Linked DNA regions of Oryctolagus cuniculus. The protein of the gene in region 1 interacts with the protein of each later gene in a pairwise test. Links are inferred from orthologs where the notes say so. Each region holds a gene or a part of one and is shown on either strand. Other genes may lie near its edges.

The links.
Region 2: the proteins of ZBED1 (region 1) and LRRC20 interact in binary tests that used the Homo sapiens proteins (3 or more experiments, as listed by UniProt). The two-hybrid records come from large-scale screens. The link is inferred for Oryctolagus cuniculus from reciprocal best matches to the Homo sapiens genes ZBED1 and LRRC20.

What each region holds. Positions count from the first base shown.
Region 1 is NC_091433.1:98,524,472-98,540,093, reverse strand, and holds the start of ZBED1 (E3 SUMO-protein ligase ZBED1), read left to right. Parts: upstream 1-6,552; 5' UTR 6,553-6,732; intron 6,733-7,425; exon of another isoform or gene 7,426-7,555; intron 7,556-11,846; exon of another isoform or gene 11,847-11,849; 5' UTR 11,850-11,906; coding exon 11,907-14,024; 3' UTR 14,025-15,622.
Region 2 is NC_091446.1:61,861,417-61,876,035, reverse strand, and holds the end of LRRC20 (leucine-rich repeat-containing protein 20), read left to right. Parts: intron 1-6,609; coding exon 6,610-6,764; 3' UTR 6,765-8,674; coding exon of another isoform or gene 8,675-8,686; 3' UTR 8,687-8,820; downstream 8,821-14,619.

The DNA.
Region 1 (15,622 bases):
CCCTTTTATTAAACTAAATTTTCCCGGACTATCGGTGCGTGCCCTCACTATTCCGCCATCTTGGCTCCGCTAAATTATGAATTTTTACACACATCAAATTTGCTCTAACCTATTTTGGAAGCAGTTAAGTCATAAAAGGATTTTTATCTGTTGATACGTCTCTATATAGCTTGTGCCTTACTTTCTTCTGAAATGGTCATGGCATAGATAGCTGAAAATAAGTTCTGAACCATTTCTTTATTTTTTTTCCATATTTCCGACCAAGTTTTTACTGCATCTTTGGCCCCAGAATGTTCTACTCCAGAAAATCTATTCTAATCTAGAATTTTCCCCAGGTAATGTGGCTTATTCTTTTCTCACTCCTGTGCCTAGGGCAACGTCCTTAGGGTTGAGGAAAGTAATTTTAGTTTTATGATTTCTTCTAGAAACATACAAATGTATTAGTCCCCCATGAGAAGCCACCAAGTGATGTCAGGTGAATATTGGAGAACAATAGGCAAGGATTGGTTGGGGAATGGGTCAGCATCCTCAGAGTAGGTATTTTGGAAAACAGAAAAGAAAAGGAACAGGTCTTTTTCTTCAGCATTAAGATCCAATCTAGCTCCTAGTAACTTTAGCCAACACTTTTGTTTGCTCAGCAGTTTGTTAATTCTTTGTTTATTTTGTTTCATCCTGTGCCTCAGACACAGATTTTTTTTTTTTTTTGACAGGCAGAGTTAGTGAGAGAGAGAGAGAGAGAGAGAGAAAGGTCTTTCTTTGCCGTTGGTTCACCCTCCAATGGCCACCACGGCCGGTGTGCTGCGCCCGGCGCGCTGCGCTGATCCGAAGGCAGGAGCCAGGTGCTTCTCCTGGTCTCCCATGGGGTGCAGGGCCCAAGCACTTGGGCCATCCTCCACTGCACTCCCTGGCCACAGCAGAGAGCTGGCCTGGAAGAGGGCAACCGGGACAGAATCCGGCGCCCTGACCGGGACTAGAACCCGGGGTGCCGGCGCCGCAAGGCGGAGGATTAGCCTAGTGAGCCGGCCCAGACACAGATTTCTTTCCAAATGCTCTAAGTTGCCTCTTCCAGATGTTTTTCTTTTGCCATCTTCTACACAGCAAACAACCTCCCTGAGCTCCCACTGGGTACGGGGTGCTTCAAAAACATTGTGAAAAAAAAAAAAACAGAAATGAAAGATAAATGCCTTTTAATCCAAAAAATCTTGAAATCTGTGCATAGTTTTTTCACAACCCACAGCTGCCACCAAGTTTCAGAATTGTTGACCCCAAATAAGCTTACCTTTTAATTTCATTGTCCTGCAAACATTTTTTAAAGATTATTTATTTGTTCGAAAGTCAGAGTTACAGAGAGAGAGAAAGGGATAGAGAGAGAGACGTAAAGGGAGAGAGAGAGAGGGCTTCCATCTATTGATTCATTCCCCAAATGGCTACAATGGCTGCAGGTGGGCCGATCTGAAGCCAGGAGCCAGGAGCCAGGAGCTTCTTCCAGGTCTCTCACATGGGTGTGGGGAACCAAGCATTTTGGGTTATTTTCTACTGCTTTCCCAGGGGCATTAGCAGGGAGCTGGATCAAAACAGGAGCAGCTGAGACTCAAATCAGTGGTCATGTTGGATACCAGCACCACAGGCAGCAGCTTTACCTACTACACCACACTACTGGCCCCGTGGTTATTATTTTGTCACAGGGAAAGTATACAAGTTAGGGGCAGCCCAAGGAAGAAACTCCTAGGAAAGTTCTCGAGAGTCCCAAAGGAACACATCCCTGTCCCCAGGATGTGGGGCATCACCCAGTGCCGATATAGAACACCACACAGGGATGATTGCTAATCCACCACGCTCTGCTGAGCTCACAAGAACAGAGCTGTAATGCATAGTTAGGGTTACACATGTCATGGATGTTGATCTGAGTCTCCCGCTTTCTTCCCAAGGGGAGGTCAGGATGCTCCCACAGAACCCAACACCCCAACTTTGTAAACACATAGATTTCTTATCACATACTTACAGTAGGGGAGGGAAACTCACCAGGCAGGGAAACACTTGGAGGCTAGTGGTCAAGATCAAATGGTGTCAAGGTGGATGCTGGCCATAAAGGCTTCCAGGGGGAAGTGGACCAGGGACAGAATGGGGAGAACAGATGGGAAGACCATGACACATAGAGCTGGGACAGAAACCATTGTGTTGCATTCAAGAGAGCAAGCAACATTTCCTAATTTCCCCCAAATATATGCAACAGCTATGGCTTGGCCAGGTCAAAGCAAGTAGCTGGGAGCTCAGTCCAGGTCTCCCAAGTGGGTGGCATGGACCCAAGCACTTGAGCCATCACTGCTGCCTCCTAGAGTGCACGTTAGCAGGAAGCTGGAGTCGGGGGTACAACCAGAACTTGCATCCAGGTGCTCTTATACGGGATGTGAGTATCCCCAGAGGCACTTTAACTACTATGCCATATACACAAACTTTCCCTTTTTTAAAAAAAAATCCAAAAAGAAACAGGGTCAACATGATCCAATAAATAATGATCCAATAAAGAAGGCACAGAGCCCAGGCTCTGTGAACTTTTAGGGGCTTATGAAAATGCTTCCATTTCTTTTAAAAAATTAGGATGGAAAACTGCAGATAGAACCCTGGAGGGAGCAGTAAGTGACATTTCCTGTAGTTGTCACCTGCATGGGAAACCTGGATTGAGGTCCCTGTAAATATTTGGGGAGTGACCCAGCAACTCCCCAGTTAGCTGCAGCAGCCAGGCCTGGGCCAGGTCAAAGCTAGGATCCTGGAGCTCCATCCAGTTCTTCTAAGGGGATGGCAGGAGCCAACCACTTGGGACATTGTCTGCTGCTTTCCCAGACACAGTAGCAGGGAGCTGAAGGGAAGTGGCAGAACCAGGACTTGAACTGTTGCCCATATGGACGCCAGCATTACACCAGGGCTACCTATTCATGCCATGCACCCTTTCGTAAGATTTAAATTGGAGACAAGCCTCTGCCTGCATTGGCCCCAGGGCCAGTGACTTGGAAGAATTAAACACAGAAATGGAAAATAAAACACGGTCATAGGTTAAACCAAAGGGAGCATCCAAATGGATGACAAGAGCAATGTTCACCCCCTTCCCCTCCAAATGCCTACAGCAGCCAGGGTTGGGCCAGGCCACAGCTGGGAGCCAGGAGCTCCATCTGGGTCTCCCATGTGGGTGGCAGGGACCCAGTCACTCAAGCCATCATGGCTGCCTCCCAGAATCTGCATGAGTAGCAAGTTGCAGTCAAGGAGTTGGAGTCAGAAATTGAACGTGTGGACCACTAGGTCATATGTCACTAGGTCACCACAACCACTAGGACCAATGCACACCTCCTTCTTGGCCTTTTTGCTTTTAAAGGAAATTAACTTAGGGGTTGGTGCTGAGTCCTAGCTACTGTTATAGCTTCTGATCCAGATTTCCGCTCATGCACCTGGGAAGGCAGAAGATGTGCAAATGCTTGGGCTCCTGGTACCCACGTGGGAGAACCTGGGTGCAGCTCCCATCCCATGGCTTCGGTCTGGCTCACACTTTGCTGCTGCAGCCATTTGGGGAAGTTAACCAGCAAATGGCAGATTTATCTCTCCATCTCTCCCTCTGCCTTTCAAACTAACCAATCAATCAATAAATGTTTAGAACAGAAGACACTAACTTATCAACACTGTCTTGGACTCCTAAGTAGAAGGACCTAATCCCACTTTACCCATGAAAAGCCCCCAAATGACCTGGTGCCCCCTTGGCAACCTGCCATGCTCTCTCTTCTGGCCACTAGGGGCTGCCATGCTGGCCCACCTTCACCAGGGAGGCCTGGGCCCTGGCAGAATCCTTACCACCTTCAGCTTTGGGTGAGTTCTTTTAGGGGCAGAAAAAAAAAAAAAAACAATGAACACACAACAGTGTGCAGATCAAAGTAGGCTAGGTTGAGTCATAGCCAACCCCTCCTGGAAGTGTCTATGCACTAACTACCCTTCCCCGCCAAATTTCTGGAGCAGGTCTGACATGGTGTCTAAAAGGCTATGGAATTGGAAGTAGCAGGATTTTGTCTAGATTAAACTGGTGGGCTGTCTCGTGAACCCTTAAAACACATGAGAACTTTCTTTGGAGAAAGACAGAGAGGGCTCCCATTCAAGTCCCTGCTGCTCCACTTCCAATTCAACTCTGCTAATGGCCTGAGAAAGCAATAGAGGATGGTCCAAGTCCTTGTGTCCCTGCACCCAGGTGGGAGAGCAGGAAGAAGCTCCTGCTCCTGGCTTTGGATAGGTCCAGCTCTGGCCATTGTGACCATTTTGGTAGTGAACCAGTGGATGGAAGACCTCTCTCTGTTGCATTGGCTCTGCCTCTCTAACTATGCCTTTCAAATAAATAAATGAATCTAAAAAAAAAAAAAAAGAAAAGAAAAGAAAAGAAAAAATAAACAAACCTGCCTAAACCACTTGGTTCCTAGGCCCCCAACACTAGCTCCTCCAGAAACCAAGATTTTTGCCTTTATTGTGCATTTGATGACAGCCACTGGGAAATCCCAGCTGTCTACGGGGGAGAGCTCTGTGGGCCAAATGTGTCCATGGGGCTCAGCTCCCATAGTGGGTCAGAGTCCCCCGTGGGGTAGAGTGTGCAGTATAGAGTCTTGGGTCCTCACGGGGAAGATCCTCACTGGATCTTGATAGGGTCTGGGAAGGGGCAGGTTCCAGAGGGTTCTGGTGGTGGTGGTGGGGCCGATATCTGTGGGTTAATCTACAGAGTCACAGTGGATAGGTGGGGGTGAAGAGGGGTCCCACAATGGAATGGGTTCCAAGTTTGAGTGGAGGTCTGAAGTTTCAATGGGGGGGCTACAATTTAGGGGAGCAGTTGTGGGGGAGTCAGACTCGGGGGTCTAGAGTTTTCTCTTGGGAGGTGAGATGGCCTGCTTGGGGGGTCTGGAGTCCAGGTATGGGGGCAGGTAAGGTCCAGGCACTGTCAGGACTGAATTCCAGATGGAGTGGCATGGGGTCTCTGGTCCCAGCAGAGGCTGAGTGAGGGCATCAGAGGGCTGGCTGTGGTGGTATATGGTAGGAACAGATTTGGGTGGGGCTTGCAATGCAGGGGACTGTCCTGGTGGGGACATGGGCGGGGGTCTGCTGGTAGAGCTTTGGTCAGCAGTCCAGGGGGATGGTACAGGTACTGGCAGGTGTGGGTGGGAGTTAGCAAGCTAGGTAACCAGTCCAGGCAGGGATCCCTGCTAGGATGTGGGGGGCTGCCATCTACGTGGGGGTTTAGGCAGGGGTGATACTGATTTGCTTATTCATATTTCTGAAATTAATAAGCTGTGTGGGCTCTGAATATTGGCGCAAATAGACCAGATGACATGAAGTTTTTCAACCTTTTTATTCAGTGAGAAATGCATAGGAAAGTGAGGGCTCAATCTAAATGAGAAACGAAGTCTAGATCTTTACCTAGCAGAGAGTAGGTCAAGAGCCACGTGTAAGCATTTTTTATTTATTTTTTTTATTTTTATTTATTTATTTTTTACAGGCAGAGTGGACAGTGAGAGAGAGAGAGAGACAGAGAGAAAGGTCTTCCTTTTCCGTTGGTTCACCCTCCAATGGCCGCCGCGGCCGGCGCGCTGCGACCAGCGCACCGCGCTGATCCGATGGCAGGAGCCAGGAGCCAGGAGCCAGGTGCTTCTCCTGGTCTCCCATGGGGTGCAGGGCCCAAGCACTTGGGCCATCCTCCACTGCACTCCCTGGCCACAGCAGAGAGCTGGCCTGGAAGAAGGGCAACCGGGCGCCGCTAGGCGGAGGATTAGCCTAGTGAGCCGCGGCGCCGGCCCGTGTAAGCATTTTGTTATGAGCAGCTACCATTGGCAGCTTATCATGGCAGAGATCACGGGCAGCCCAAAGGCCAGGTGCCCAAAGGCATAGGGCAACAGGGTAACAATGGTCAATAATAGGGAAAGTGCCTGACCCACCTTGTTTCAGGCCTTTTAACCACTCCAAAGGGGAGTGGTTATGTAGCCTGATTGGCAGGCGGGCATACAGGTGGGGTCAGGTAGGGGCAGGAGATCACACAGGAGGCGTGGTAAAGGCGTGGTCTGTCAGCTCACAAATCTAATCCAGTCTGCCTACATCAGGGGGTCTGCAGCCCCAGCGGGGTCTCCGCGGGGACGTGTCTGTGGTTAAGCGGTCTGGGCCGGGGTCCACAGGCCCAGCAGAGGTCTGCAGTTCAAGTGGGGCCCTGTTGTGGGTCTACGGGCTCAGGGAATGGGCAAGGGGTTTCCAGCTGGACGGGGAGCTCCTGGAGGGGATTTGGGGAAGCGGTCCCCGGGCTGGACTCAGCAGTCTGGGAGGGGGTCCTGGTGCAGTCAACGAGGGCCTAGGCGGGGCTGTGGGGAGGATTTCGCGGGCCTGGCCGGAGTCAGCAATCCAGGCAGAGCTCCCGGAGGGGCTACGGGGAGGGGTCCGCGCTCCGAGGCGGCGGGGGTGGGGGCGAGGTGGGGTGTGTGTGGGAGAAGGCAGTCAGGGTTGGGGGTCCGGCGGGCAGGCGGGCGCGGGGGCGGCGCGTTGGGCCGTGCAGCAGTGCAGTGCCAAGCGCCGCGGGCGGGCGGTGCGGAAGTGGCGGCAGCTGCGGCGCTGGGGCCGCCATGTCGCCTTTGTCTGCGGCGCGGGCGGACCTGCGGGTCTGCGCGGCGGGGACTGCGGTGATCCTGGCGCAGCCGCTGCGTCGCTGTGGCGGGGGCTTCACCGAGCTAGGTGAGCCGGCGGGTGGCGCGGGCCGGGGGCCGGGTGGGGCCGTTATGGCGGCGGCGGCTTCGCGGGGCCTGGGGTTCGGGTTCCGCGCTCCCTGAGACCCCCGGGGTGGGGCTGGGCAGCACCGTGGAGGTGGTGAGAGGTGGGCGCGGGCACGGACCGGGGTGGCGCTCTAACGTCGGAGCAGACGCAGTGGCGGCGGCGGCGGCTGCGCTGGACCCGGGGCGCGCTCCGTGCTCCCTGAGACCCCTGGGGTGGGGTTGGGCGGCGCCTGGAGGTGGTGAGGGGTGGGTGCGGGGCTTTACCTTGGCGTGGGAGGCGCTGGAGCAGCCGGGATCAGAGGCCATGGGGTCCTTGTGGGGCGCACGCTCCTCCCCTACCCAAGCACTGCCCCTTCACCCGGAAGACCCCCTTGCCACCTGCCGTGGGCCGGGGTCTCCCTTTAAGATCCTCCGAGTCCACACAGGGCCATGGCCGAGGTTACCCGGGCACCTGCGCCCTGCGCTCCAGACCTCAGGCGCCTGTCCCCGTTGCCTGGGTTCAGCTTGTGGCCCTGCGCTCTGCATGGCTGTCCCATGCGACCCACCTCGCTCCCCAACCCAGGGTCAGTTAGCAGAGGCCATGCCAGGAAAGGGTGGGCAGAGTGCCTTGGAGGAGTTGTATATCTCGGGGTCGGGGGTGGGGGACCGGGGGGCTGGGGATGTCACTCTCGGGGAGGTCTTGGCCAGCAGAAAATCACTTCCGGTCAGAGGCCACTTTTGTGGTTGTGCCTTGGAAAAAACACCTTCCTTTGAGTTGCAAACACTGGCAAACTTGCAGATGACAAGTAAGTGTGAGGTGAAATGTGTCCTTTTTATATAATGTGTTTTCTGGTTAAGCCCGGAGTTCCTCATCACTCAGCAGTTGACCGGACCTAGAACTGAACCAGGAGAGAAAGGGGTGCACCGGCAGCTTGGTATGGGACGCTCCATGCCAGTTTGTGCTCAGAACCCCACCCTGTTCCCCCTCCCTATTTCTTCCTGACTGGAGGAAGGAACTGCCAGTCTGCGCCCAGAACTGCTTCCCCGCCCCTGCCTACCTCTGACCGGACAAGGGAACTGTCTGTGTCTGGAACCCAGCCCTCTTCCACGCCCCTGCCTGACACTGACTGGAGGCAGAACCTGCTAGTCATTGCCCATCAGCCCGCCTCATTTCCCACCCTTGCCTGTTCCAGTCTGGATGGGAGACCTGGCAATTTTATTCTTGGAATCTGAAAATTGCATGTGCTCTTTTAAGACATTAAAATCATCCAGGGGGCTCCAGACTGCTATGCCTCTGTTCTGTGTATTTAACAAATGTGTAAACTCTTTACTTAGTGTAGGGTTAATCTTATGAGTATAAAGTAAACTGAAAATAGATCTTTGTAAACATTTTTTGAATCAGAATAAATCTTAAATTCTATTTTCCTGTGCACTTTTTAAAGATTTATTTATTGTTATTTGAAAGGCAGATGCAGGATGGGCAGGTGCTGGGCTGAGTACTCTGCCTTGGTGGTTTAGTGAGTGGTAAGCAGTGGCCCAAAGCAGAACATATGGGCAAATTCAGAGTTCAGACTTTTTTTAAAAAATAGAAACAGAACACCTTTCATGTAGTTCACAGATAAAATTCTTTTTTTTTTTTTTAAGGATTTACTTTTTTTTTTTTTTTTTTTTTTTTTTTTGTGAGGCAGAGTTTCAGAGGGACAGAGGCAGAGGCAAAGAGAGGTCTTCTGTCCTCTGGTTCACTCCCCAAATCACTGCAACGGCCAGAGCTGGGCTGAACTTAAACCAGGAGCCAGGAGCTTCTTCTGGGTCTCCCACATGGGAGCAGGGGCCCAAGGACCTGTGCCATCTTCTACTGCTTTCCCAGGCCATAGCAGGGAGGTGGATCAGAGTTGGAGGTGGGACTCAAACTCAGACCCTGTGATATGGCATATGGACACCACAAGCTGGGTCTTAATCCCCACAAGAAACACCTGCCCTATATATCATTTTTCAACAAAAAGTAACTTGCCCAGAATGACAAGACGTTATGGGGCAGAGTGGCCTTGTTTGGGGATTTTCTCTGTTTCTATATTGACTGCTGGGTAGAAGGGAACTGGTTTTTCCACATTGTTTCTATACCGTTCTCTCTTGTGATCCATTTTTTTTTATTATTATTAAATCCCAGAAGGAAAATCTGAGAAATGTGGCAGCTCATTGTATAGGTGCAGAGTTGGACAAGGTAGCAAGTAATGGGAGTAGTGGCTATAATAATGGAATATAAATCAATCTTCCGGGTACCAAGATCTCTTTGAGCCAAATACCAACCATTGATTATTCAACCCCTGTTGACATAATTACTACTAATAAAATTAATGGAAGCTCATTCAATCACAGTGGTGGTGATAATGGAATATAAATCCAAATTCTAGGTACCAGGGTCTCTTTTAGCCAAATACCAACCATATCAATTCTCTGTTGAAATAATTGCTTCTAATAAAATTAATAGTAGTAGTAGTAGTAGACTATCAAGCTTTGTTCTAGATATCAGAACCTCTTTCCACCAAATGATGATGGTGGTGGGGATAGTTATGATCATGATGGTGAGAGAATTAGCCTCCATAGAACCTCTGTGGTCCCCGCGAAGGGATGAAGATGATCATAGATGATGATGACTGTGGTGGTGATGATGACAATGGTGATGCTGATGACAGTGATGGTGGTGATGATGACAGTGATGGTGATGCTAATGAGGGTAGTGATGATGACGGTGATGATGGTGATGGTGATGATGGCAGTGACAATGGTGGTAATATGACAGGAAGATCTCACAAAGGAGGGAACTGGAGAGTACGCAAGAGAACACTGGAATCTCATCACAGTAACTGCGGCCTTGTCCCACCTTTGGGAAGCTGCTGCAACCAGGAATGCTTAGGTAATCAGGCACGTGGTAGTGTTATCATCCTATAAAGTCTCCAGCAGGCACCGTTGCATGAAAGTGAGCATTACCTGGTGTAAGTGTTCGTGAGGAAGTCTCAGAATGGCCCCCATCCATCACTGGGGCAACGTGGACACTCCTGATACCCTTTATCCTTTTACATCCACTGTGTGAGTTTCCACTGGGGTGCCATAGCCCCATAGCCAAATACCACTCATAGAGTGACTTAAAACCACAGCTATGTGTATTCTTGCACAATTCTGGATGCCAGTGTTTGAACTCAAGGTGCTCGTAGGGCTGTGCTCCCTCCAGAGGCCTTAGCAAAGGATCCTTCTCTTATGGACTGAGTTTTTCTGTGCCCTTCATTGTGAAGGGAATGTGCCAGTATTTAGAGGTGGGGCCCATGAGAGGTGAATAATTGAGCTCTCCTTTCCATGTGAGGACAGTCAGGAGATGACCCTCTATGAGCCCAATACAGTGTTCTCACTGGAAACCCAATCTGTGAACAACTGGGTCTGGGGCTTCTGGCTTCCGGCTTCCAGCTTCCCGCTTCCAGAACTGTGAGAAATGTGCATTGGGTAAGCCATCTAGAGCAAGCTGACTGAGACACCTTCATGGCCTCCTCCAGACTCTTCGGGTTGTAGCTGCACCCCTGCAGTATCTTCCTTCATTTCAGTTGGCTTCTCCTCTGTGTCTCCTCTTAAGGACACCTGCCATTGCATCATCTGGGACAGCTTCATCCTGAGATCTGTCCCTGAATTAATCTGCAAAACCCTATTGCCCACTAAGGTCCCGTTTACAGCTTGGGAGATGGGTGTGTGTTTTGATGTCTCTGTTCCATTCATTGTAGTTGTGTCAAGTTTACTGTGTAAGCTCCGGGGAGAGGATATCTCTTTCCTGCCTCTTCCAGCTGCTGGTGGCTCCAGGCGTCCACATCTTTCTACTCGTCTTTCTCTATCTTGTGGTTTCTCTGTGGCTTCATCTCCTCATCTGTTTGCTATGAGGACACTTCTCAATTGATTTAGGGGCCACTCTAAGACAGGATGGTCTCATCTCAACACCTTTCTTATGTTTACGTAGACCTTGTTTGCAGATAAGGCTTAGCTCCAAGATACCTGCTGGTGAATCGCTCTTCAATTGTTCTTCAACCCACAGTCATCATTAGTGAGATATGTTTTGCTTGATTATGAACATACCCTAAATTCTCAGAAAATGCATGGGAGGTCAAGTTTGTTATTTAATGTTCCAACAGCTTGTAGATGTAACCAGCAGTTTTAAGAAAACCCAGCCTCCTTTTTGGGCTCCTTAGTCATGGACACAGTCCAAAATGGTAGCTTGGAGCTTCTGGACATTTGTCAACAACAACAGGAACCCCAGGGTCACCGGCTTCTGGGTCATCAACATTACCACAGCAAGATGCTGATGATGTCACACGATGATGTCACACGCTGATGGGCACAGCAGATGTGATGTTTCTGCCCTCAGATGGGGCTGCACTTGCAGAAATCGCGTGTGTGGAGAAATCCGTGGTCACAGATCACAGATTATGTGAAATCTAGAGTGTGCGATGTTTGAAACAGATTTTCTTCCAATGTACAGTTTGTAGGAAGTGTTCCTGCCTCTTACCCCAATTAAAATAATCTCCATAGTGAACGCAAAGTCCTGCTTTTGCTTCTCAGGTGTGCTTAATTCCAGCTGCAGTGCCATTGGATGTGGGTTTTTGCTCTTAATCAGCTCTAAGGCAAGTGGGCAGTGACAGTGCAGGGTCTGCCTAGGTGTGTTTGGGCTCCCTAGATACAAGCAGCCTCCTCTAAAATGACCTATGCAGCTCTCCCGTGTGCCCAGTTCCTGGTGGGCCCCCAAAAACAGTCAGTAGCAGTCAGCCGCTCTGAGGAATGAGCTGAAAGGGATGGCCCTTCTGAACTGCCATGTGTAAAAGCAAAAATGTTTCCTGCAGCTGGAACATGTGCATAGGATTCAGCTGGAAGAAAGAGCAGGCTTGTGTGTTACATTGCCCTCGGCTTGGCGGAAGCCGCAGGCCAGGAAACCTGACCCAGTGAGCCGCAGCCCCCTGTAAGTCCAAACGGAGCTGCTCCTTCCTGTGTGGGCCATGTTGCTCAGGGTGCCTGTGCGAACCCGGGTCCCTTTGCTCATGCTGTGTTTGTCTCACTGCTTCATAGCAGGTCCGCACGGATGAATGGACGTCCACCTGGCAAGGCAAGGCTCCCAGCGGACAAGCCATGGAGAGTAAGAGTCTGGAAGGTCCCCAGGCAGACCTGAAGCTGGTGGCCCACCCCCGTGCCAAGAGCAAGGTGTGGAAGTACTTTGGCTTCGACACAGACGCGGACGGATGCATCTTGCAGTGGAAGAGGATCTACTGCCGCATCTGCATGGCGCAGATCGCCTACTCTGGAAACACCTCCAACCTGTCCTACCACCTGGAGAAGAACCACCCCGAGGAGTTCTGTGAGTTCGTCAAGAGCAACACTGAGCAGATGCGTGAGGCCTTCGCCACTGCCTTCTCCAGACTCAAACCGGAAGCATCCTCCCTGCAGTCTGTGCCGGACACACTGGCCACCACCACGGCCCCTGCCAAGGCCGGCCACAGCTACGAGAGCAAGAAGCAGCAGGAGCTCACAGCTGCCATCCTGGGGCTCATCTGCGAGGGGCTGTACCCAGCGTCCATCGTCGATGAGCCCACTTTCCGGGTGCTGCTGAGAACAGCCGACCCCAAGTACGAGCTCCCTAGCCGGAAATTCTTCACCAGCAAGGCCATTCCGCAGAAATACGGGGAGGTGCGGGAAGCCGTGCTCAAGGAGCTGGCTGATGCCTCGTGGTGCGGCATCTCCACGGACACGTGGCGGAGCCACAGCCAGAACCGAGCCTACGTGACGTTGGCGGCCCATTTCCTGGGCGTGGGCTCCCCCAGTGGCCTGTCCATGGGCTCCCGGTGCCTGAAGACCTTCGAGGTGCCGGAAGATAACATGGCAGAGACCATCACCCGTGTGCTGTACGAGGCCTTCATTGAGTGGGGCCTCAGCACCAAGGTCTTTGGGGCCACCACCGATGCTGGGAGGGACATGGCAAAGGCCTGCTCCTTGCTGGACATCCCGGTGCAGATGCCGTGCCTCGGCCATGCCTTCGACGTGGCCATCCAGCAGGCCTTCCAGTTGCCCAAGCTGGCCGGGCTGCTCTCCCGGTGCCGTAGACTGGTGGAGTACTTCCAGCACTCGCCTGTGGCCATGTGCATCCTGTATGAGAAGCAGAGGCAGCAGGGCGTAGCCACACCACCATGCATGCTCGTGAGTGACCGCGTGTGCTGGTGGGGCAGCACGCTGGCCATGCTGCGGCGGCTCCAGGAGCAGCAGTTGGTTGTAGCGGCTGTGCTGGTGGAGGACAGCAACAACCACCACCTTATGCTGGAGTCTGCTGAGTGGACCACTGTGGCGGGACTCGTGGACCTCCTGCAGCCCTTCCAGCAAGTGGCTGAGACACTGGCCACCTCCAGGTACCCCGCCATCAGCATGGTGAAGCCACTTCTGCACATGCTTTTGAACAGCACGCTCAGTGCCAAGGACACGGACCCCAAGGAGATCAGCATGGCTAAGGAGGTCATTGCCAAGGAGCTCTCCAGGACATACCAGGACAGCCCTGAGGTGGACCTGTTCCTGAACGTGGCTACCTTCCTGGACCCACGGTACAAGAGGCTGCCCTTCCTGTCTGCTTTCAAGAGGCAGCAGGTGGAGAACCGTGTGGTGGATGAGCTGAAGGGTCTTCTCGACAAGGCCCAGGATGCCCACTTGGGGCCGACAGCGTCTGAGGACAAGGTCTACCCTGTACCTGAAGAGCCGCCGGCCAAGAAGCTCCCGCTGGCATCCACACCCCCATCCAGTACCGCCATCCACGACCTGTTGGCTGAGATCTTCTGCCCTGTGGACTGTGGGGAGGACCAGGAAGAGTGGCACGCCCAGGCTATGGAGGAGCTGAGCAATTTCAAGTCACAGAAGCTGCTCGGCCTCCACGAAGACCCCCTCAAGTGGTGGTCGGATCGCCTAGCACTCTTCCCTGGCCTGCCCAAGGTGCTGCAGAAGTATTGGTGCGTGGCGGCCACGCGTGTCTTTCCTGAGCGCCTCTTTGGATCATCGGCCAACATGGTCAGTGCCAAGAGGAACCGCCTGGCCCCCGCGCATGTTGATGAGCAGATCTTTCTCTATGAGAATGCCCGGAGCTCTGGGGCTGAGGGTGAACCCCAAGATGAAGATGAGGGCGAGTGGGGCTTGGACCAGGAGCAGGTGTTCCAGCTGGGGGATGGCACCAATGGCACCTTCTTTGGCATCAGAGACACCAGCTTCTTATAGGGACAATGGTTTCCAATAGCTTGAGAACTGCGATGAATTCATCTTGAAAAGTCTTGTAGAAGTTGGCAGTAAGGCCATGAGGTTCTGGATTTGTCTGTCTGGGGAGGGTCTTTATGATTGATTCTGTGTCTTGACTAATGGGTCAGTTTAAGATTTTCTGTGTCTTCATGATTCAGTTTTGGTAGTTGTGTGGCCCACGGTGGGGATGTTTCCACTCTAAATATTGACTCGGCTGGCTCCATGTTGATCTCAGAGACAATGCACGGCATGTGAACTGAGACAGGTGAGAAGAAGGAAGAAGGGCATGGCCCTGAGCATCTTGGAGCCCACCAAATGAATTTTCCTCTGTGGGTTTCTCCTTATCCTTGAGACTCAGGAGATTAGCTCTGCACCCAGTTCCTGTCTGGCAGTTGCAAATCCCAAACCAGAGCACGCAGAATGTTTTTCCTCCCTGCAATTCATGTTCTTCCTGGGAGGGCTTTTGTTGCAGCCCTGGGCATCGTGGATGAAGGGGAGGAATGCCCGGAGCTCAGGTTGGGACACAAGGAACCTCCCCCAAGCATTGGTTATCATACATGAGCTTGCTGCACGTACACATCTTCCTTGAAAGCAGGAGGCTGCTTCCTGTGTAAACTTGGACAAGATTGCCATGTGCATCTCTTATAAATCCCCAAGTTTTATGGTTGGTGGTGAGAAGTGTTAATGAGCATAAAATGCACACATTTGGGTAAAAAAATGTTGTTGTGTGTGGGATATCTCTGGTCATACTGCCTGCAAATGGTCATCTCTAGTGTTGGCCAAATATTTGCTTTGTAGACACAGTCCTTCCAAGCTGTGGCATTCTGAGCCTGTGATTCCTGTGTCTCTTGATGTCTGATATGTGCAGTTGCTTTCGGGGTGATTGAGAATAAGGCTTTTCATTTTGTGACCTGCACTTGCCCAGCTCTTCACCATTCTGAAAAGTGAGGGTGACCAAGGCATATCTCTTGAATTCTGTTTTTCCACCTCAGTGACTTAGGAGGTGGTATAGTGTTATTTTTTTTAATTGTTATATTGTTTTGGGGGCAGAGGGTCATCATAGGTTTTCTTTGATAATTTTGGAGGAAGTCAAAAGACATTTTTCCAACAGGGGAATTATTTTAGAACTTGCCAGAAAGCCTGCTTTCCCTAAGAGGGACTTTGTGACTCCTGTTTTTAAAAAATTTTTGTAACCTTTTATTTGAGGTGTACAAACTTCATGAATTTCATGTAAACAAATTTAATGATTCTTCCCACGCCACCCTCCCTCCCTCCCACCCACACTCTCACCCTTCTTCCTCCTCCCTCTCCTAGTCCCATTCTTATTTTTTACTAAGAACTATTTTCAATTAACTTTATACATATACAATTAACCCTACACTAAGAGTTCAACAAATAGTATGAAAAACAACCAACAAAAAACCCCTTTTATTACACAGGAAAATGTGTGTTTCTGCAGACACCTGCCTCTCCATGCCTCATTTCTCATTTTTTAAGCCTTTTCTGTGTTTTTTTTTTTTTTTCATTGTTGCTTTACTCACTGACTCTTGGTGTGGGCATTTCACGGTTGAGGTGGCTGT
Region 2 (14,619 bases), on another chromosome or scaffold:
GCTGGCCCCACTGGCTTAAAGCAAGTTTACCAGTCAATAGTGCTAATGACCAGTGAGGTGAAGTCAAGCTGACTTCTGGAAAGTAATTTTTTACAAATACTACCCACTCTGACTCAGCTGCTATTGATCAATGTAAGCTTCCCGCAGACGTGGGCAGGAAGCAGGCAGGATTCGGTCTTTAATCCTGGCTGGGTCCTTCTTCCCTGCCATGGGCTGCCCCGTCTTTGGCTCAAGTCCCCACTCAGGACACTTGGCTTTGCAGCAAAGGCCTAGGACTGCGTCCCAGGTGTGCTTCCGTGGCTGTGCAGAGTGAAAGGGATGTTAGTTACCCTGGCTTCAAAAAAGGCAGCTGGAACCTCGCATCCTCTCTTCTGCAGGCACGGGCTGAAAGAGATGTGAGATGCTGGGAGCAACAGAAACAGGAGGCGAGGGGCTGCAGACTCGGAGGCAGCTGTGCAGGCGTCACTAGTTTGACATGCACTTGAAAGACGCGGCATGCCATGCAGAAAGTATGTTGCGGCCATTTTGAAGCATATGTGGAAGATTGTGTGTGTGCACACACACACACAAGCTCATTAACTGGCAGGCTTTGTGGCACAGCAGGTTAAGCCGCTGCTTGGGATGCCCACACCCCATGTTGGAGAGCCTGGTTTGAGTCCTGGCTCCTCTGCTTCTGATCCAGCTTCCTGCTAATGTGCACCCTAGGAGGCAGCCATGCTGGCTCAAGTGATTGGGTTTCTGCCACCTGCATGAGAGACCTGGATTGGGTTCCTGGTTCTAGCTTTGGCCCCTCTGGTAGTTATGGACATTTGGGGAGTAAACTAGCCAATGGGATCTCCCTCCCCTCCCCCTCTCTGCTTCTCAAATAAAAATAAGTTTACAAAAATAGTTTTAAGGGCCAGCATTGTGGTACAATGGGTTAAGCTGCTACCTGTGATATTGGCATTCCATATGAGTGCTGGTTCATGTCCTGGCTGCTCCACTTCCAATCCAGCTCCCTGCTAACATGCCTGGGAAGGCATCAGAAGATGGCCCAACCATTTGGGCCCCTACCAGACCCCAATGAAGTTCCAGGCTCCTGGCTTTGGCCTGGCCCAGTCCCAGTCATTTTAGCCATTTGGGGAGTGAACCAGCAGATGGACAATTTCTCTCTCTGTCTTTATAACTGTGCCTTTCAAATTAATTAATCTTTAAAAAGTTTTTAAGTTGGACAGGCCATGTACCAACACATTAGCAGTGATTACTTCTAGATGCTGAGACGTGGTTCGGTTTTGCTCAGCATTCTTTTCTCTTTTTTTTTTTTTTTTCTTTAAAAGATTTATTTTATTTATTTGACAGGCAGAGTTACAGAGAGAGGTAGAGACAGAGAGAGAGGTCTTCCATCTGTTGGTTCACTCCCTAGATGCAATGGCCGGAGCTGCACTGATCCGAAGCCTGGAGCCAGGAGCTTCCTCTAGGTCCCCCACATGGGTGCAGGGGCCCAAGGACTTGGGCCATCTTCTACTGCTATCCCAGGCCATAGCAGAGAGCTGGATCGGAAGAGGAGCCCATATGGGATGCCGGTGCTTCAGGCCAGGGCGTTAACCTTCTGAGCCACAGCGCCAGCCCCCAGCATTCTTTTCATACTAAGATAATTGCTAGTGCCAAGGGGCCAGGGTCCTGTCACCACCCTGGTCCTCAGAGGCCTGGCCCTGGCCAGCAAATACACATGTAGTGACTCAAGCTGGGAAGTGGGTTCCAAATGGCTGTGGTCACAGAGTGGGCTCCAGCCTGCAGGAACTTTCGGTCTAGTTGAAAGCTGACCACTCGTCCATACTTCCATCTAGCAGCCATGGAGCCTCTGTGCTGAACACCTCGCTTACAGCAGTGGGTGAACCTAGTCCAGGCTGCAGAGCGTGGTGTGGGATACAGAAAGTGGTGTCAGGGTTTTGGAAGGTATCCAAGGGGAGTGCATGTAGAGGTGGCCTTTGAGCTGGAATCCCAGGAGCAGTGGGACATGGTGGGTGGGGGCGAAGGCGTGGACCAGGGCACTTCCTCTCCGGGTGTGCCAGAGTCCAAAGGCCTGGCTTTGGAAACCAGTGCTGCTGACCTGCTGTGTGGCCCCGAGGAAGCTAATTTAGCCTCTCTCATCTGCAAATGCAGATCATTTCACATCCTCCTGTCCGCCCTCCACCTTCTCCCCCTCCAGGCAGGATGCCTTGAACATAAATGATCTTTCAGCTTTGTCTAGAAATTCCCAGCTGGCTTCTTGGGTGATTGCTTGCTAGCTTGCCTGCTCTGGTTTGTTCATTCTTCCAGCTTTGACATGATCTGAAGGCTCCATTGCTCCTGCTGCTAAGCTGTCCAAGTGACTTTGGCAGTGAAATCAGGGGAACAGGCATGGCTAGTCCCCATCACTGTCACTGTCCTTTACCAGGTGGCTCAGAGGATGCTGGGCACACAAGTGCAGGTGGAGACCCGAGCAGCGCAGCTCCCACTGTGCCTGGAGTCTCAGGGATTTGCTCCGTGGCTGCCTGCAGCAGGTCTTCGTGCTGTACCCAGCAAACCAGTGGCAGTGGTCTCCCTGGCTAGGGGGTGGTGTAGTCAGAGTCCAGAGTGAGAAGGGTCCTAAGCAAACCCCGCTCCAGTTCAGCTCCTTGGAGAAACTGAGGCAGTACCAGGCGTGGTGGCAGATGGGGGAGCTGGTGTGACTGAGCAGCTCTGGGGAAGTGTCTCAACAATTGAGGTTAGGACACTCTCAGCCCAGGGTGCAACCTGTACTGAGGTGTTTGGCAAAACCTGCCTGTTGTGATTGCCTTCTGGGGGCCGAGGGCCAGCGCCAGCAGATGGGTGTGGCCATGGCTTTGCCTCTCTGTGCTGCAGGATGGAGCATGGGCTTGGGGATCAGGAACTGTCCTGTCTCTACCACGTCCTGGCTTGGCAACCTTGGGCCCCGAGGACATGAGGTTCAGTGTCCTGATGTGCACAGTGGGTCCTTGCGAGAAACCATCTAGCACAGGCCTCAGGGCTGGAGCCCCCTGCACTTTGGTTTCCTCCTGTGGCCCATGGAGGTGGATACCCCAGGAAAGACTTTCCCTTTGAAAAGCCAGCTGCGGTGGCATCTAGACACCCATCAGGGCAGAGGAATGGCTTCTGCCCATGCTGCTGTGCAACTGCTGATCTGGCAAGGTCAGGATTCCAAGGAATCTGTGCTTTTCTTCCCAGCCATTCTTGGTAGGGGAAAGGCAACCCCTGCTTCAGTTCCCACACCCAGTATGCAGCGTGCATCTGAATGAGCGCTGGGGCATGCTGCAGGAGGCACGCAAGTGCTGGGCTGAGGCGCTAGCCTGCCTTCTGGAAACAGCCTTGCCTCTGCTTCTTACCTCCCCGGGGCCCCAAGTTTGCCTTGGACATGGGACTCTCCCATCCCCTCCTGCCGACTCATGCCCACCTTCTCACCTGTCCAGTGCTTCCCGAGTGCCCAATAGGTAGGTAGGTAGTGACCAGCTCCACTGGCTGCCTAGTAACCAGTATTCCTGCTGTGTCGCATGGGGCAAGGCTGGGGACTGGACCCCACACTCGGAGCCCTGCTTGTATGCAGCTGAGAGGCTGGGTGTGTGAGGGATCTGGCTGCCTGTCGGCCTTGCTCCTCTCTGCAGCTCAGCACCAGTGCCGCCACCTAGTGCCGGGGGACCCGGGGGAACAGTGCCTCCTGCTGTGCCTCAGGTCCCTCAACTTGCAGAGCCTTCCCGGCTCCTGCCCTCCTGTCTGTCTGCCATGACCTAGACAGCCTCTGGCCAGCAGCCTGTGAACGTGAACCTCTTTCTGGAGAGGCCAAACCTGGGGCTTCTGATCTTCTGTGAGTAGGGGTGAGGGGCTCTGGGAGTTGCAGCTGCTGTGGTTCCACGTGATCTGACCACCAGGCCGTCTCGGCCGTGAGCTCAGGCTGATATGAAGCTGCCTCAGCTCCGGGGGCTTGTCCTCGCAGACCCAGGGCGGGACTCAACTGCTGCAGGCTCCAGACTAGCAATGGGGAGCCAGGACTGAGATTTGTTGATGTGTGTTCTGGGGTATTGAGCTGCATTCTGTGTGCAGGCATCTTGTTGATCCTTGTGCCCTCCTTGCAGTGTTGGCAGCGGGCCGCCTCCTACATGTGAGAGGTTCAGAGACCCCGTCTAGGGCCACACAGTCTGCTGCTAGAAAAGCCAGGCTTTGCCTTCTGATTCCAAAGCTCCCACAACTAACCATCACCTCGTTGCCCACCATCACCCCATTGCCCACCCCATTGTTCCAGAAGATTATTACATGGAAGTGAAGAATCTGGGCGCATTTGCCTAAAGAAGGTGATGGTATTGGCTGGGCTGTGGGCCTTAGAAGTGCTGTTTATTTTGCCCTGTGACTCAGAGCAGAATAAGGAAGCATGGAAGGTTCTGGAAGCAATGAGACCATCTCCAGGAAGCCCTTTCTATCAGGGCAGGTCAGCAAGGAAGTGCTTGTTATGGGGACCTTACAGGGCCTGGAGAGCCTGTGATGCCTGCCCTGTGCCTGCCCCCACCCCCACCGGCTTCCTTTGCAGGTGATGTTGGCGGGGTGTGTGTGTGTGTGTGTGTGTGTGTGTGTCTGCTCCTGGCTGCGTGGCCCAGGGGGCTATGAGTCTCATGATCAGGGCAAGACAGACACCCCTGTTAGGTCCCAGGAAGCCCCGCAGGAAGACCATTTTCTGTCTCCCTTAACTAGGGATCTTTTGGAGGGTTCTAGCTTGGGAGGGGGGTGGATATTCCAGACTGGAAGGCTGTGTAGGAGGTGGCCTGAAGGGTTCGGGTTGGGAGTCAGCCAGCCTGGCTTCCTAGCCTGGCTGCAGCACTTGCTGGCTGTGTGTCCTTGGACAAGTTACTTAGTTTCTCTGCACTCCATCAGTCCTCACCTAGAAGATGGAGATAATAATAGCACTCAGATAAGGAAGCTTTTAGTCAGCAGGCAATCAACCCACATTATCTAGAAAACCACTGTCATCAACAAAATTGACCCAGACTCCTGCACATTTCCACTTTGCCAGGAATCTTGTGGGCTGACAGGCCTGGCGAGAAGAGGCCCCAGGGAGCTCCCCTGGGTGTGAAGCCACCTGTGGGCTCAGGTTTAAAGCCCTTCAGGTGCCTCCTCTCCTCCCCTGCCCACCTCTGGGTATTGTGGGGCGTGCTGGGAACCAGGAGGCAGCAAACCTGGGCCCTGGCCCTGCTTCTGAAGAGCTGTGTGCCCTTGAGATGGGGCTTGGCCGAGCCTCAGCTTCCTCACCTGTGCTGCTCGGCCCCCATGGCTAGGGGAGGATTAACCAGGAAGCACTGTACAAACCCGAGTGTGCACATACCCATGAGGCATTGTCCTGAGCTGATGACTGCCCTTCCCCTTCTCCCGGGGGGAGCTGGGGAGTTCCTACATCCCAGTTACCAAGCCCAGAGGAGAGGGGCCCTCCCCAGGGCTCCAGGCATGCGAAGGGAAGAGCCTGGGAAACCTTAGTGAAGGCTGGGGGTCTGTCTGCCTGGGGTGGGGCCTGGCAGGGCCAGGCAGCCCGTGTGGAAAGCCCTTGATGGGGTGGTATGGAGGGACAGCAATTCTGGAGCACAGTGAGAGGTTGTGTGTACACACCCACGCGGGCAATGGAGTGGCCATGCACAGGGCCTTGTGCGGGGACTGTGCCCTCCACACTGAGAGGAGCCAACGCTTCTTGGAAAAACGACTGATTCCAGGGCCAGGGCAGGAAGGCTCCGGATGCGACCTGCCAGTAGGTGAGGAAGCACACCCCAGAATGCACTGCTGGGAAGTGTATCCAGAACCCTGGGGGCAGGCGGAAGACAGGAGCAGATTGTTTATGGCCACGGCTGGGGCAGCTTGAGGACCAAGAGAAACACAGCCATGAGCTGTGAATCTTTAGAAAGTGGGGAGTCTGCACTGGTAGTCAACAGGTGCCTGGGAGTGGGGAGAAGACTCCAGTTCACAGTAGGGGCTGAGGGCCTGCTGGGGCATGAGGAAGATCAGTTTAGGGGGGCACCATCGGTGGATGCCAGGCCTAGGGCCTGTGGGTGCAGAGAGTGGGCGAGGAGCTGGGTATTTGTGTGCTTTTTGGATGTCCCCGTGGACTCAGTTGGAAGCAGCGGTAATAATTATGCAGTGGAGAAATGAAGTAGCACACTGGCTGCGTGATCAGAATTAACACGGAAGGTAGATGTTTGTGTGCCCGTGATGCTCACTGTGCACGATCCCAGTCCACCGTGGGAAATCCCCAGGCCGGTGCAGCGCCAGGCACTTGGCCTTTCCCTGGCAGGACTCCGGGGACAGGGGCATGGTGGAGGTCGCGAGGTGGCCCTGCTCACACCTGCCCGTCACGGACCGGGGCTGTACTGCCTGTTCCTTTCAGGAGCTTGCTCTGGTTGCATCGTTGCTTACTTTACGTTTGTCAGAGTGGGGCGTCTTTGCTGAGTTTGGGGTGGTGCCCCTGTATCTTTACACAAGCTGAGTGGATGACAGCTGGAATCTGGATTTCCGTATGCTGCACGTCTCCTCGCCCCTGCGTCCTGCTTCCCGCCTGTGCCTGCGCAGCCCCGCCCGTCTAACCTGTCCTTCTCTCCCCCGCAGATGTGCCGGTGGAGAAGCTGGCGGCCATGCCGGCCTTGCGCTGCGTCAACCTGCGCTTCAACCCGCTCAGCGCGGAGGTGCGCGTCATCGCCCCGCCTCTCATCAAGTTCGACCTGCTCATGTCCCCGGAGGGCGCCCGGGCTCCCCCGCCCTAGGCCACTCTCCTTGTGCCCGCCCGGCAAGGGACAGCGGCCTCTGGCCTGCCCCACTGTGGGGAGGGCTTCCCGCAGGCCCAAAGGAGGCCGATTCTGCGTGCTGGGAGGGTGCCGCGGGCCCAGGGTAGCTTAGGGCAGTAGTGGGCCCTGGAGTGCCGCAGGCGGGGTCAGCGAGAGGGCTGCAGCTGGTTGGGCCCTCATGGCTGCTGTGCAAACTTGGGCACCCCGCCGTCCCCCTGAGCCTTGCTGCTGGGGAAATGGGTGTTGGGGTGGAGCTGTTGCCTGCTTGGAGGTCTCTTGGGCAGGCCGTGGTGCCGTCACCTCCATGCTGTCTGCATCTCGGAGCTCACAGATGAGTGTTGCTGAGCGCTTCCTGGGCCCTGTGGGCTTGAGGCCTCCTTCCTAGCGCTGAGAGCCAGGTGCCCCCTGGGAGAGTAGAAGACAGTCCCCATCTATGTATTCCTTCCTGAGAACAGTGCCCATCCTCAGCCCAGGGTTCCCTGGACCTGCAGGAGCCTGAACACGAGAACAGTTATGGAGGGGCCTGCTGCGTCCGGCCGGGACACTGGGGAGCACGGCAGGGCAGCTCTGTCCTTCCTCCTGATTAAGAAAGCCGTGGGGTCGGAAGCTGTGCGGGTTCCACTCCTCCCTGGAGTGTGACTGGTGTGTGCCAGCATGGGTACCCAGTACTCACAGCTGAGCCGCAGGAGAGGCGGCCCAGAGAGAAGACGGCGGTTTGCTGTGTCTGTGAATCACTGCACCTGTGACCATGGTCCCTCTGGCAGCAGCCTGGCTGTCTGGTCACAGCCATGTGCAGGCAGAAGACTCTATGGGCCACTCCCAGAGCCCTGGTGACCTACCTAGTCCTTTCAAGGCCTTGGATGTGGCCAGGCAGTGGAGTGGCCAGCCAGCCAGCCTACCAGGGACCAGGAGCTTCCTGGGATGTGGGGCTGAAACTGGGAGGCTATCAGGGACGGCTGGTCCCGCCAGGAGGGGACCTGGCACTCCTGCTTTCTGGAAGCACCTGTGCCCGGCAGACCCCTTGATTTCTTGATTTCTTAGGTATCTACCTCCCACCTTCTCATTAGTGGGGCCAGCTGGCACCTCTGTGTGAGCTTCTCAGGCCCTGGGACTTGGGACAAAGCCAGGCCACCCAAACCCTGCGTCCTGTGGGACCTCTTTACTGCTCCTGAGTTAAGCTGTTCTGTGCTCAGACCTCCTCTCAGACCGCCCCCAGGCTCCTTTCCTCCTGGGGCTCCTGTCTCTTGGCTCTGCAGCAGAGAGCCTGTTCCCTCTTCTCGTATCCCGGGGCCTGGGTGGCCAGACTCTGGGGAAAGGGTTTTCAGGGTGCGGCGGTCAAGAAAAGATCTCCAGGGCTGCCCAGTCTGGCCAGGGCTGTTGGGGGACATCCTGTGTCCTCCTTGCTGGGAGGAGCGGCACTTTCCTAGTGTGCACCAAGGCAGTGCATGGCCAGAGCCTTGCAGCTCCAAGTGTAGCCTGTCACCAGCTGCAGCATCTGTGTCACCTGGGGGCTTGTTGGGAATGCAGGGTCTTGGGCCCCACCCCAGCCCTCCTGACTCTGAGTCTGCATTTTACCAAGGTCCCCAGATGACTCCTACAAGCACTTTATAGTTTGGGAAGCGATGTCCTCCGAGTGGCAGGAGAAGGCTCTCAGTTCTATCCCTGACTCCTCCAGGGATCTGACTGAGTCTGTGTCAGCCCCTCCCTAACCCAGCCCTGGGAGACGCTTGGCCTTAGATCTGATGGCATTCCCAGGGAAGGGAGTGAGCCCCGTCACCGGGAGGGGAGGGGGGAGCTTTCCCTGCCCTCTGCACCTGTCTTTCCCACTGTCTCCTGCATGCCAAGCTGCCTGCTCCCCAGGTGCTCACCTCAGGCCCCTTGCCTCCCAGGGCTGCCTCTGAGAATTGCTTTCTTCTCTGCTTGGAGAGTTCACCCTTGCCTCGTGGGGGAGCTTGGGCCGAGGAGCCCCTGAATCAGAGCTCACGGAGTGAGTGAGTCCTTTAGCTTCCCTCTGCAATAAAGACCGTTGGTTTCACCTGCCTGCTTGGTGTTGGATTAATTCTCACTGCACAGACCTCCTGTGGCCTGGGTACCACACCAGCCCCCTGTGCAGAGGGGCACCTCTCTTGGCGAAAGCATGAGGAAAGGTGATTTGGGCAGAGCAGTTCTCAGTGTCACAGGTGGTGGGTGTGCCAGTGGCCCTGCTCTGATCACGTCCATCATATTCATATAGTAAGATGTCACACGGTGCCATCAGTATGTACAAGGACACTCTAAAAAGTCCATGGGAAAGAGGATTAAAAGAGAAAGTTTCTTTTGGTGAAATCTATGCCTGGTTGTATTCATAATACCCGTTTCCATGAACTTTTAGATGACCTCTCTTAGGCGTGGGTTTCACAATTTTTTTTGCACCAAAAGAAAGTTCTAGGGGCTGAACTAAGCCTCTACCTGAAGCGCTGGTATCCCATACGGGCGCTGGTTCATGTCCAGCTGCTCCACTTCCGATCCAGCTCTCTGCTGTGGCCTGAGAAAGCAGTGAAAGATGGCCCAAGTCCTTGGGCCCCTGCACCCACGTGGGAGACCTGGAACAAGCTTCTGGCTCCTCGTTCCTGGCTTTGGATCATCAGCTCAGCTCCTACTGTTGCAGCCATCTGGGGAGTGAACCAGCGGATGGAAGACCACACTCTCTGCCTCTGCCTCTCTCTCTGTAGCTTTACCTCTCAAAGAAATAAATAAACAAATCTTTAAAAAATTCTCTTTTAATTCCACTTTCCATGAATTTTTGAAGTACTCTGTATTATGTGTTAATTAAAATTTTAAAAATATATTTTGTTTAAAATTATTTTTGTTAAAGTGTATTTGGAAGAGAGAGAGAGATACTCCATCTGTCGATAATTTCCCAAATTCCCACAATGGCAGAGCTAGACTAGGCTGAAGCCAGGAACCCGGAACTCCATCCAGGTCTCCCATATGGGTGACAGGGACCTCAGCAGGGGAGCCATCACCTGCTGCTTGCTAGGATCACACTAGCAGGAAGCTGGATTGGAAGCTGAGTAACAAGGACTCACCAGGCCCTCCGATATGGGATACAGGTGTCCCAAGCAGCAGCTTAACCCCAGCACCACCACCCCTGCCCCTAAAAGTATGTTAAGTGACATTGGGGTGCCACTTGTATTCACTGTGAATGCAGGAGCAACCAAGCAGGTTGATGCATGCCCAGAATAGCCAAACATCAGCCCAGGGGAGTGTGCACCTGGGAGAGGATGAAGAGGCCCAGTGTCTGCACATTTCTCCCTTCCCTGTGCCAGAAATCACAACCCTAGTAATTCGGTCCTCTGGGTCCACGGTTCCCAAAGAGAAGTCTTTGGGCCAGCAGCACAGGGACCACAGGGGCGCTAGGCAGGTGCAGATGTCTAGACCCAACCCCCACTACAGAATCAGAAAACACTGTCTTCACAAGCCCTCAGGTGGTTCTGATGCACACTACAGTTAGAGAATCACTGTTTGGGGTTCAAGGTTAAAGTCTGGTGCTCCTTTATTTTAAAAATTTCAATTTTCATTTACCTGAGAGGTGAGGGACAGTGTCCATCCACTGCTTCACTCTCCAAATGCTCCCAGGAGCCAGGGCAGAACCAAGCCAAAGCCAGGAGTCAGGAGCTCGGTCTGGGTCTCCCATGTGGGTGGCCGGCACTTGAACCATCCCCTGCTGCCTCTCAGGGTATGCATTAGCAGGAAGCTAGAACAGGAAGGGTAACCAGGACTCAAACCCAGGCAAGTGTTCCCAGCGGGTCTGAACTGCTACACTAAAACACCTATCTCCAGGTCTTGCTTTTTTATACCTGAGAGGCCAACTTGAGTTTGCCTTGAGCTTTAGGCCAGACACAGTATTATTTGTATTTGAAGGCACAGAGAGAGTTCAGTGTCTTAAACAGGTTACAGTTACCACCTCCCTGAACCCCTGGGACAATCCTAGCTGGCTTTGTGCTCTGGATACACCCCTTCTCCCCCACCAGAAGGCCAGTGAGGGGGCTGAAGCAGGGATCCCTAGCAGGCCTGTCTGGAGCTTCTGTGCTCTCTTAGGACAGCCAGGCTAGCACTGTGACTGCCTTGGGGCTTAGCCTGGCCTCTGGCTGCTGCTCTCCCCAACTCCCACCTACACAGGGCCCTGTGCACGCCCCGGGTCGCCCCCTGGCTCGGCACAGCTGATCCTACTCTTCCCGCAGGAGGGCGTGTTCTGCACGGATGGTTTTCCAAGTTGTCAGAGTTGGGATTGAGGTGCTAGGGTCCAATTTGGGGCGGGGCTTTCAGTGCAGGGGATGAAGCCTTATTTAGCGTGGGGTAAGGCTCACGACACAGTCACAGGTCAGTAGACTCAGCTGGGGGCTTTGAGGCTCAGGGTCCAAAGAGCCTTGGGTGTAAAACTCTGAGGCTCTTGGGAGTTGAGTGGCTTGATGTTCTTTAAGTGATTCTTTCCAAAGGCCGAATGACCAAGAAAGCTCTGTGTGACTGTTCCTTCCTGGGCACGAGTTCCCTGGGCTGGTCCGGTTATGTTGCAGGAGGGCGGGATGATGAGGTTCAGTGTAGGGCATGAGACGGTTGCCACTGGGATTCGCCCCAAGACACCATGCTGGACCCCAGAGCTCTGCTTTGAAGCCGCTCTTCATGTGAAATATACCTGTCCCTTCTGAGTAAGCCGGTCAGTCCTGGGGCCTGGAGCTGTTCCAGGCAGGCAAGGGTTGGCAGCCACCCCAGAAGGCCCTGGCAGAGCCCTGGGAGAGATGAGGCCAGGAAGGGTGGGCCTGGGAGAAGAGCGGGACTCAGGGCTGCTGGGTAGGAAAGCCGGCGAGGCTCGCCTGTGGCAACTGAGCGTTCTCAGGGCCAGTGGGTTGCACTCACCCCGAGAAAATGGCCACTGCCACTCTGCCTTGGGGTGTGTGTGTATGTGTGTGTGTTTAAAGATTTATTTATTCGAAAGAGAGAGGAGAGGGAGAGCTCTTTCATCCATTGGTTTGAAGACCAGGGCAAGTCCCCGGCAGAAACCAGGAGCCTGGAGGTCTGTCTGGGTCTCCCACATGGCTGCAGGGACCCAAGCACTTTCTGGGCGATGCAGAGCTTCGAGCTGCACATGCCTGTAGCACAGGGGAGGTGAATGGGAGACCCAGTCCTGTGGGAATGGAAGAGTGACAGCTTGCCATTCATCCCGTCTTCATCGTTACGGAGTCTTTGCAGGCTCTGTTTCGGGCCTCCGAGGACAAATCATGACTAATGAATGAAGAAGCCTTAGCCGGGAGCCAGCTGGGGCCTGTGCTACCCTGTGCTCATGCATCCAAATCTGCAGCAGCCGGGCCATGGAAAACAACGAGGACGAGCCAAAGGTAGTGCTGCAGCCCTGCACCATATACGGGAGAATCTGTCACCGGGGGGCCTGGCACGATGTAGATTCCCAGGCCTATCTGAGCCCCAGTAAACCAGGCTCTAGCCAGGACCCAGGCCTCTGCACCTCAGGATCCTGTAACCTTCCACGCAGCAGCCCTGGCGCATGTCCTGCAATGGCTCTCTCTCAGTGCTCTTCAGGGCCTGGTGTCAGCTGCCCCTGTTAGCTCTCAGGCTCACTGGCTTCCAGCTGTTCCCTGAACCCCAGTGGCCAACTCCCTTACTCCCTGCAGGTCTTTGCTCAAATCAAGGCCGCCCTGAGCACCCTGGCAACGTCTGCTCCATTCCTTCCCCAGCGCCTCGGCCTCCCTTAACCTGCTCGCCTTGTCCTTGTCCCCAACGTGCTCATCATCTAACATGTGCTTCTGCTTACTTGTCATGTCTACTGCTTGTGGTCTGTCCACTCTAGCCAGAATAAAACATCTCCGGAGGAGGGATTTTTTGCCTGTCTCGGTCTCTGCCATACCCGGTATGGGAGCCTCTGCCCACACACAGTGGGTGCACAATGTTTACTGACTGGCACACTGAGGTTTGAGGACCTCTGCTTTGGAGAGAAGTGCTCTCCGATAGGACTACCTACTAGGTCAAGTTCACGTCCCATGTTAAATACGGTGCTTCCCACCAGGAGGGTTTGCTCTGCAGGACTGAAAGCAGTGGGCAGTCTTTCTCACGTTGGCCCACCCAGACCCTCATGAGCCTCAGCGTTGTGGCTGTGGCTGTTCTGAGGCGAGAGGCCAGGCCCCCATGCCTCCCATTAGCCTGCCGCTGTGCCAGGAGTCCAACCACAGTGAGGTCACGGCTTTTGGTTAAGCATCGCCTCCTCCCCTGTGAGCTCATTCCAATTCTCCACATTCCTGGAGACAAAGCTGAGAGTCAGATCAGGCCCTTGTTACTCCAAGTGTGGTCCTCGCTGGCCAGTGTCGACATGAGATGCAGAGTGTAGGTCATTTCCTGGGCCTGCAGACAAGAGAGCCTTGAGCGTGGGTGTCCTTCCAGACACGCAGCAGTCAGTGCGGAGGTTATCTTTTCTATGGGACACCAGTCCACAAGTTAGCATTTAAATCCCCTTAATTAACAGTAACGAGGAACAGTACTGCCATATTCTCATCATCCAGCCTGTAAGGTGCTGCTTTAGTGCTTGGTGTGCGCTTCTCTCCTTGTCTCTTTTCCACGTTGGAGATAAGAATTCCTAAGAGCCCATTCCTGAGGGTGTGGGGTTGAGCCTAACATTCCTGGGACCGGGTTTATCAGCTGCTCTGTGTTCCAGTCCCAGAAAGGGATGGAACCACCCAACGCTTGAGGGAAAAGAGAAAATAAAACAGAGGTGGGGAAAATGTAGAGGAAGCGGGAAGCAGCTTACGGGTGCCTGTGACAAGGCTGAGCACCTGCTCTGATTGTCTCATTTAACTTCAGGCAGCTTCTATTTTTATATCAAGCCTACAGAGGAAAATTCGGATTGGAGAAAGTGGAGCCCCAGGTGAGATGGGAGACAACAGGGATTCAAACCCAGGCCTGCTGACTGGCGTCCTTCTCTCAGAGCCAGGGTGCGGGGCCGAGAAGTGGCTCATGCAAGGCCCCGCAGGAGCACAGGGCCCACAGCCTTCCCAGAGAGCCCCACCCATCCCCAGGAGGCCTCACCAACTTCCCTGACATAGGCTGGTCCTGACACAGAGGCCTGGATCCTTCTTGGTCTAGGGCCACCCCTGGGCCCTCCAAGCTACCACTTTGGGTGCAGAACCCAGCCAGAGAGTGGGACTCAGGATGTCTTCTATCTCAGTGGGGTCTTCCTCTGTCACTCCTTGGGAGGACTCCCGACACCTGGGTTCTCCAGAGGATGGAGTGGGGTGGGGTGGGGGAGGACCATCAGAGTGAGAAAATGCTGGTCCAGGGGCCGGCATGGTGGCACAGCGGGTTACCCACTGCCTGTAACTTGGAATCCCAGCTGCTCCACTTCCGATGCAGTTCCCTGCTAATGCACCTGGGGAAATAGCAGCAGAGGATGCCCCAAGTGTTTGGGCCCCTGCACCCATGTGGGAGACCTGGCTCCTGGCTTTAGTCTCAGCCCAGCTCATCCCACGTTGTTGTCATGTGGGGAGTGAATCAGCAGATGGAAGAACCTTTCTCTCACTCTCGCTCTGTCTCTTCCTCTCTCTCTCTATCACTCTGCCTTTCAGATAAACAGTTATTTAAAAAAAAAAAAATCTGGTCCAACCGTTTCCCACCTTAGAGATGGAAATGTCAGTGCCCATGGAAGTGTTCCAGAATGTTCCAGAGGGCATGATTTCACTAAGGATATGCAGCAAGCTGGCGGCAGAGCCCAGCCTAAAGCCCAGGTTTCCTGGCTCTGGGCTGGGTCCTGGTGCTAGGGAACTCAGTGCTCAGAGCTCCGGCCTCTGCTCCT